2 linked regions of the Mus musculus genome follow. The protein of the gene in region 2 interacts with the protein of the main gene of each other region in a pairwise test. Links are inferred from orthologs where the notes say so. Each region holds a gene or a part of one and is shown on either strand. Other genes may lie near its edges. The genes, in order: Ugcg and Rtn1.

Region 1 (3,821 bases), on a different chromosome or scaffold from region 2:
GTACATGTATTAAAACCTTTGCATTTGAAGAGAAAATCTTAACCATTAAAAACATAGTGATAGCCACTGTCTGCTCTGCAGCCCTTCTCCAGTGTAACATTTCTTGTTGGCCAGTTTGTAGCCTTTGCGCTTCTGTAATACACTATTCTACCAAAAGAGTCAAATCAATGAGCTCATGTTTCCTAAAATATGTAAACTTATTAATAAGCATTTTCATGTATTTTAAAACATTATTTAGATGGTTATAGCAAGAAGTTTCTCTCCTGGGCTAAAAATGTGTAGATTTTTGAAGTTTTATATTCTCAGAATTAGTGACTGATATTTATTAAATCCAAATGTTCTTAATTACATTAATGGACATTTTCTAAAATTCTCTCTCTCTTTTCCCTTTCTCTGTTGTCCCCTTTTTTCCCCCACTAAATTTTAGTCATCCCAGACACATTAACTGACATGGTGAATCAGATGACAGAGAAAGTGGGGTTGGTCCACGGGCTGCCGTATGTAGCCGACAGACAAGGCTTTGCTGCCACCTTAGAGCAGGTAAGTGCAGGGCTTACAAAACGTGCTTGTCACAGCAGCTCCTCCCTCAGACCTGGTTACCTGACCTCAGCTCTGCTGCCTGGTGTGGGACCCTGCTGAGAGCACCATTGTGCCTAGGAGGAAGTTCTCAGGTCCTTGGGGTCACTTACTGCTGAGCTACCCCACCCTGTGGCTGTGCATAGGGGATGTCTGGTGACCCTGTCCCCAGCTGGACACATAGCATCTTCACTGAATTCTAGATGTTCACTCCAGACTATTGTCTTCTATAATGTTCTTTTCAACAGAAAGCTACCTGATGACATATTGTAAAGTATTTAGAAAAAAAAAAAGTTCCTGCAAGTCCTATTTAAAAGAAAAAAACCCTTGATTCCCTGTTTAAATAAGTATCTTAAGAAACATATTTTCTACAAAAACAAAAAACAAACAAACAAACAAACAAAAAAACCAAGAACAAAAAAGAAACATATTTTCTTTTTTGAAATTAATATACAAAGCTCTGGATTCCTTTATGGAAGAATGAAATACATAATTTTGTTGGCTCTCTCTACTCCCTCTCCTGTCTTCCTGCCTCTACTTCTTCTCCCCCTCCCCCTTCACGTTTTTGTATGTTTTTTGGGTTTTGTTTTGTTTTTTGTAAGTTCTGGTACTTAACCAGACTAAACTAGCTTTTCACCACTGGGCTACGTTTTCAACCCTTTCTCTTCAAGGTTATTGTCAAGCTCTTATCATGTAGAGAATGAAAAACTTGTAGAGACACAGAAGAGGCATACCACCCCAGCACCCAAAGGGAAACTACCTCTGCACTGATTAGGGACAGTGAAGATCCACTTCTGTTTGATCACTTATGGCACGTGTGACTGGTTTTGGTTTTGCCTTCATACGCATTTCCCATAGTAAAGCTTCATTAAAGCCATATCTTATCCTGGACTGTTAAACAGAAAGCAACACTTGTCTTTGTCGCAAGGGAAAGGCTCTTGGTATCAGTTTTGATATTTATCCACTTCCTCTTCAGCACATCGTACATCTGTATATTTTCTTGATTCTTCTAATTGCCACAGATCTAAGAGGGTGAAGGCGCATTAGTGTTAGGACTTTGATTTGACCTTTGGCAACTTAATATCTCCCCCCCTCTCTTACTCTTATGCATTCGTATATGTGTGCTCATGTATGTAGGAGGATGAGTGTGCATATATGTAGGGGGGCGTCAGAGGTTGATATCGTATTTCTTTCTCAGTCACTTGCTAGCCTGTATTTTGAGCCATGTTTTTGCGTCTCTCACTGAACCTTGAAGCTTCTCGGTTTGACTGGACTGGCTTGGCTGGCCTGCAATGCATGCTCAGCACCAGTTTCCACAAAGTCTGGGATTGTAGGTGCACATCAAGTCCAGTTTCTTTTTTTTTTTTTTTTTTTTTGGTTTTTTGAGACAGGGTTTCTCTGTGTAGCCCTGGCTATCCTGGAACTCACTCTGTAGACCAGGCTGGCCTCGAACTCAGAAATCCGCCTGTTTCTGCCTCCCAAGTGCTGGGATTAAAGGCGTGCGCCACCACCACCCAGCTCATGGTCTCTTTCTTAACACAGCCTTGGGAAATATTTCTCTCACCGGAAGAGATTGTTAGTCTTAAAATCTTGAGTTATCTGGTTGATAAAAGGAACTACATGTAACTGTTTTAAAATAGAATACCATCATGTGCTTTTACCTTAGAAACATGCACATAGATGTCTGTATCAATGAAGGGCATTTCCCAGAATGCACCCAGTCTACTTTACTTAGAATGAATGGAGATACAACCAGAAGACTCTTCCTGCATGATAAAGAAACCTTCAACTGAACTCTAGTCCCGCCTAGTGCTGTGGCCTCGGATAACTGCTTGCCGGTTAAGATGGATGCTTCTGCTCTAGAAGTTAGGTTTGGTTCAATCACAGAAAGCTCCATTGCTTCAGTGAAGTCTGCATTGAGTGTAGGTAGCAGAATCATGTCTTAGCTGCCTTGTAAAATTCTATTACTCTGCTCTATGTGAATAACTGTGATGAAGGGAGCCTGCTGCTCTGTTCTTGAAGGTAACTAGAAAAGGCAGCATATCTGAGATATAAATAGTAAATAGGGCTTTAACAAGGGTCTAACAAGTAGGGTGGTAGTCAGTTCCAACGTGTCACAGAGAAGAAAAAGTCCAAAATTAGGGGCTGGAGCGATGGCTCAGCAGTTAGAATGAGTTCTGTTCTTCCAGAGAGGACCAGAATTGAGTTCTCAGCACCTAAAATGGGCAGCTTACAGTAACCTTTAACTGCATCTCCAGAGGATCCTGACCTTCCAATCTATAGGAACTCATTCAGATGTACATTACCCCCGTAGACTTACATGAATATACAGAATTTAAAACAATTTTAAGAAGAAATAAAATTTTCCTAAACATTGGTATCACCTATACATGCTCTGTGTATATGCATAGATACTTGTACAGACACACACACACACACACACATGCCACCAAATGTTGTAAAATCAGGAGACACTAAATTTCATTAATATTTTATATACCAGTTAATACTCTTTTATATATAAATTCCATTTTATTTGGAGTTATCTTTTTTTGGTTGTTTTTGTTGTTTTTTCTTCTTCTTCTTCTTCTTCTTCAAGACAGGGTTTCTCTGTGTAGCCCTGGCTGTCCTGGAACTCACTCTGTAAACCAGGCTGGCCTCGAACTCAGAAATCCGCCTGCCTCTGCCTTGAAAGTGCTGGGATTAAAGGCGTGCGCCACCACGCCCGGCTGGAGTTATCTTTTAATGTATTGATTTTAGAAAAGATAGTGGTTGCTTTCTGGCCAGGGAATATGCTTTTCACTCTAAAGGTAACTTTCTTGGTACTGCTGATAGCTGGGTAGTCAGCCAGACAAATCACTGCCCGAACTACAGTAGCGCAGGGGTGTGCTCCTCCTTCAGCACGTCAGGGCGCTCACTCAATCACTTGCATTTAACAGAAAGCTTTAGGGAAAGTTGGCAGGCCTCATAGTTTTAACACCAAAACCTAATTGACTATGTCCATCTGTGTTTTCTCGGGCAGGTATATTTTGGAACTTCACACCCAAGATCCTATATCTCTGCCAATGTAACTGGCTTCAAATGTGTGACGGGGATGTCTTGTTTGATGAGGAAGGATGTGCTAGATCAGGCAGGAGGGCTCATAGCCTTTGCTCAGTACATTGCTGAAGATTACTTTATGGCCAAAGCAATAGCCGACCGGTAAGTGAACTAAAGTATTTTCAGTATCCAGCAAATTCAATTGG
Region 2 (3,821 bases):
AACCCGACAAGGGACAAAAGCGATCAATAATTCTCCATAGCTTTAAGGCTACAAACTACAACAATGACCAGCACAGCAAAATGCCCTCAAGGGTACAATAGTGCTACTTATGTCTTGGATGTAACCAAAAGCTATCTAATTGAACTTTAGGTCTGCTTAGGAGGAGGGAATATATATGCCTGGAAGCCCAGCCAACTAACTGCTTTGGAACTTCAGCCCTCTGCAGGCTGGTGTTCCCCACAGTGAAGAATTACCAATGTCTCTACCTGTTCCAGAAGATGGAGGCGTGACAGATCCTGGGCTGTCATCTTCAGGCTCTGAGACAGTGACAGTGGGCACTGTGTCAGGACTTGGCTTCAGACACAGGTCTTGCTTCTCGGGGATTGTCTCTTGTGTGGCAGTCATAAGAGGAGGTTCGATCTCCGTCAGTGTGATCTTGACAGGGGCAGTGACCAGAGACACCCTGTGCTGCTCATCAGAGAGCTCATCTATGTAAGGAGCAAAGGTAGATTCTTCGAATAAGTGGTCCTTGATGAGTTTCCCCTCCACAGGAGCTGGCTGGTTTGGTGCTCGAACCCCTTCTGCTTTTGTGGAGACTTCAGTGTCCTTGTCTTTAAAGTCCAAGTCTTTATCTTCTAGCCCAGGGTGTTGCTCCTCCTGGCCTTTTGCCTCCTGTGGCCTGGTTATGTCAATGTATTTGTAGGCTTCTGCCTTCATCTGGTCTAGGGGGTCAGCTAGGATCTTGTTCACCTCAGTGGACTCAGCAGGAGTCATCTCTATTCCAGAATCAGAACTCAATAAGCCCTGTGGCTCCATCCCGGGCACTTCTGGTAACGAGGGTCCGGGGGTCTCCGGCTCCTCAGGGCTCTCGGAAGTGGTGATGTGACCATTTTCCTTCTGAAGAATTCCAGTAAAGTATGCAGAGTCCTCCCGAGGTGGATAGCAGACGTCAGAAATCAGGGATGTGTAACATGCCCCTTCCCCATCTTTTAGTGTTGAAGAGGGAGAGTGGTCGAGGGCATCGGGAACAGCTGCCATACCTGTCAATCAAAATAATAGCAGACCATGAGTAAGCTCCTGGCTGGAGGTTTCTCTCCTGCCTAATCTACCAGATATCCCTCACTGAGAAAATACAGCACTCTTTCTCAAGACACTGGAACATCAGCATGCTAATTTTCTTTGTCTACATCTCAGGTATTTTCTAGGCAACAGATACCAGCAGTTCACTGTATTTCAACAACTAATATGCTCTAACTTCATTGACTTGATTTTGGAAGTGACTGTGGGTCTGTAAAATGATCAGTGGTGTAGACAGCTGGGAAGGACTTGCTCGTGGAGGCTAACACATCTGTGCGTCGAAGGGGCTCAAGGGCCTGTCCTTGTACTCAGGGTCCTGCTGGTTTCAGATTAAGCCCATCCATCGTCTACAGGGAAAGGTACTCCTCATCCTGAAGTGTCCTTATCTCAACAGCCTGCTTCTGTATTTCCCCAGGTCCCCCTCAATGGCTTCCCCTCAGTGTCTGCTTCCAGTGAGCTCATTAGCCTCTGCGAACACCAAAGCATTATACTGAGTATTCCTTCTATCTGGTGCGCAGGGGAAAACAAGTTGGTAGATTTCACTTTACAGGTTGTTTCCCTTGGGTCTTTCTTCCTGCCCCAAGGCATTGATTATTAGAAGAAGTCAGTGAGGTGGCCCAGCAAGTAAAGTCACTTGCCACCAAGCTCGATGATCTGAATTCCATCTTCAGGAGCCAGACAGTGAAAGAAGAGAACAACCTCCCACAAGTTGTCCTCTGAGGTCCACAACAATGTATAACTTCCAACGCAATAAAATTGAACTGTTTATTATTAATTATTATTACTACTATTATTAGCATTATTATTGGCACTAGCATTATTACTATTATTATCTAGAGGACGGGGGGGAAAGTTTCTACATCTTGCTGCAAAACACTGCAAATAGAATCAAACAGAGGTCAATAAAGACTTACTATATGCCAGGCAATGGTTTGCTGACCTGATTCTTTCTTACAACAGTTTTATATATTAAATCTCAGAGTCTCAATGTCTACACATAAATAAACTACACACCTGTGTAAACACACACACACATACATACATACATACATACACACACACACACACACACACACACACACACACAGCATGTACAGTATGAAAATCCTGGACACACTGAAAGAATATACCAGACAAAGGTGCCATCTTCTGTGAAAGTGGTCATTTGGGAATACCTGTAAAATACCTATACCTAGCATGAAAACTAAGTCAGAAACAATCAATGTTTCACATGGTGAATGTCTGGCCTGAGCAACAGACAAGATTGACGCTAGCAAACTTCCTCAATAGTGGGGCGGGCGGGAGCGAGCTGATGGAGTTAGGGCCTGAAGCACTTCCCTAAGAAGTGTGCCAGCCGCTTTCAAGTGCCCACGTCCCAAAAGCTACTCTTAGTTAAAGCATACAATGTTCCAGACACTACAGCACACCCTCTGGTTGTAGAAAGAACAATGCAAAGACCAACACAGGAAGCACAACATCACAGAGGTTCTGCTCTCACTAGATGACACCAACCTGGGTAGACAGGGAAGGTCAAGAAAGGAAGTGTGGAGGCAGACCCTGACCCGTCCACTGGTGAGGGGCTGCAAGGAGAGGCACACTATGCAACATCTCATTTCAAATTTGCATTTTACCAGGTCCTCTCTGTGTCTCTCTCTGTGCGTCTCTCTGTCTCTGTCTCTCTCTGTCTCTCTCTGTCTCTCTGACTCTCTCTCTCTCTCTCTCTCTCTCTCTCTCTCTCTCTCTCTCTCTCAACAAACTTCCCAAAGGCCACAGATTGGCCTGGCCTTGAGATCTCTCTGTCTTGGGATCTCTCAACTTTTGCTGGAAATATTTCAAATTGTGTGAGGAGTTTCTTTAGCCTTGGACGGTTTCTGCGTACCTCTAGAGGGGCCTCAGCTCCCTTCCCTTCTGTGTCTGTTTCTATTTACTTTCCCCACTCGGTTTTCGCTATTGCTCTAAATCTAATGCCAAGTCTTACTCTGCTTATCGTCTTTCCAATCCTACCCTTAGTAACTAACTAAGCTCCTCCCTCCTACTGATCCCCTTCCTCTTTCTAGACAGCCCACTATCTACTTTCACATCTGTATTTGTAATGATCCAATGGGGTTCATTGGAATTGCCTGTAGGAGCAATCTTAATTGGAAGACCATTTGCACCACTGCAAATATTACCAACTTGGGGAGTAGAAAGGGGAATAGTCATTGTGAGAATGCCAGCGCTGGTAAAAATTACAAAACTTTGAAATGTATATAAAGAAAATATCTAATTAAAAAAGAAAAAAATTACAAAGCTTATTTTAGCCCCCACCCCCCATGCCAACAATCTAACAGTTTTAAATTCCCAAAGACCAAAACTCCTAAAGTCTAAAATTAAAAAAAAAAAAAAGACAGAAAGAGAACCAATCCAGAGCCCTAGAGTTAAAAATGCTGAAACCCTAAACAAATTCCCATAAATTCCCACTGAAACAGAAATGGTTCTACATGAGGTTTGAGAGGGGAACGGCTAAGGAGGACACAGCTGTGCATGGATACCTGCTAAGGCTTTTTGGTTGTTTTGTTTTGTTTTGTTTTGATTTATGACTGAGGAAGTTTCTAGGAAAAAGTAACTGTGTCTCTCAGATCTACCCCACAGAAAATAAATGTAAATGTCTTCTCTGAGGAGAGACATGCCCCCCCCCCCTGCAAAATCAAAAAACAACAATAGAGATTTGTTGTAATGTAAGGTATCAAAATATCATTGAAAGT

The links.
Region 1: the proteins of Rtn1 (region 2) and Ugcg interact in a two-hybrid assay, tested with the Homo sapiens proteins (2 studies listed by BioGRID and IntAct). The link is inferred for Mus musculus from reciprocal best matches to the Homo sapiens genes RTN1 and UGCG.

The regions. Positions count from the first base shown.
Region 1 is NC_000070.6:59,213,438-59,217,258, forward strand, and holds part of Ugcg (ceramide glucosyltransferase), read left to right. Parts: intron 1-427; coding exon 428-540; intron 541-3,598; coding exon 3,599-3,777; intron 3,778-3,821. UniProt on the Homo sapiens protein: Participates in the initial step of the glucosylceramide-based glycosphingolipid/GSL synthetic pathway at the cytosolic surface of the Golgi.
Region 2 is NC_000078.6:72,307,890-72,311,710, forward strand, and holds part of Rtn1 (reticulon-1), read right to left. Parts: intron 1,041-3,821; coding exon 267-1,040; intron 1-266. UniProt on the Homo sapiens protein: Inhibits amyloid precursor protein processing, probably by blocking BACE1 activity.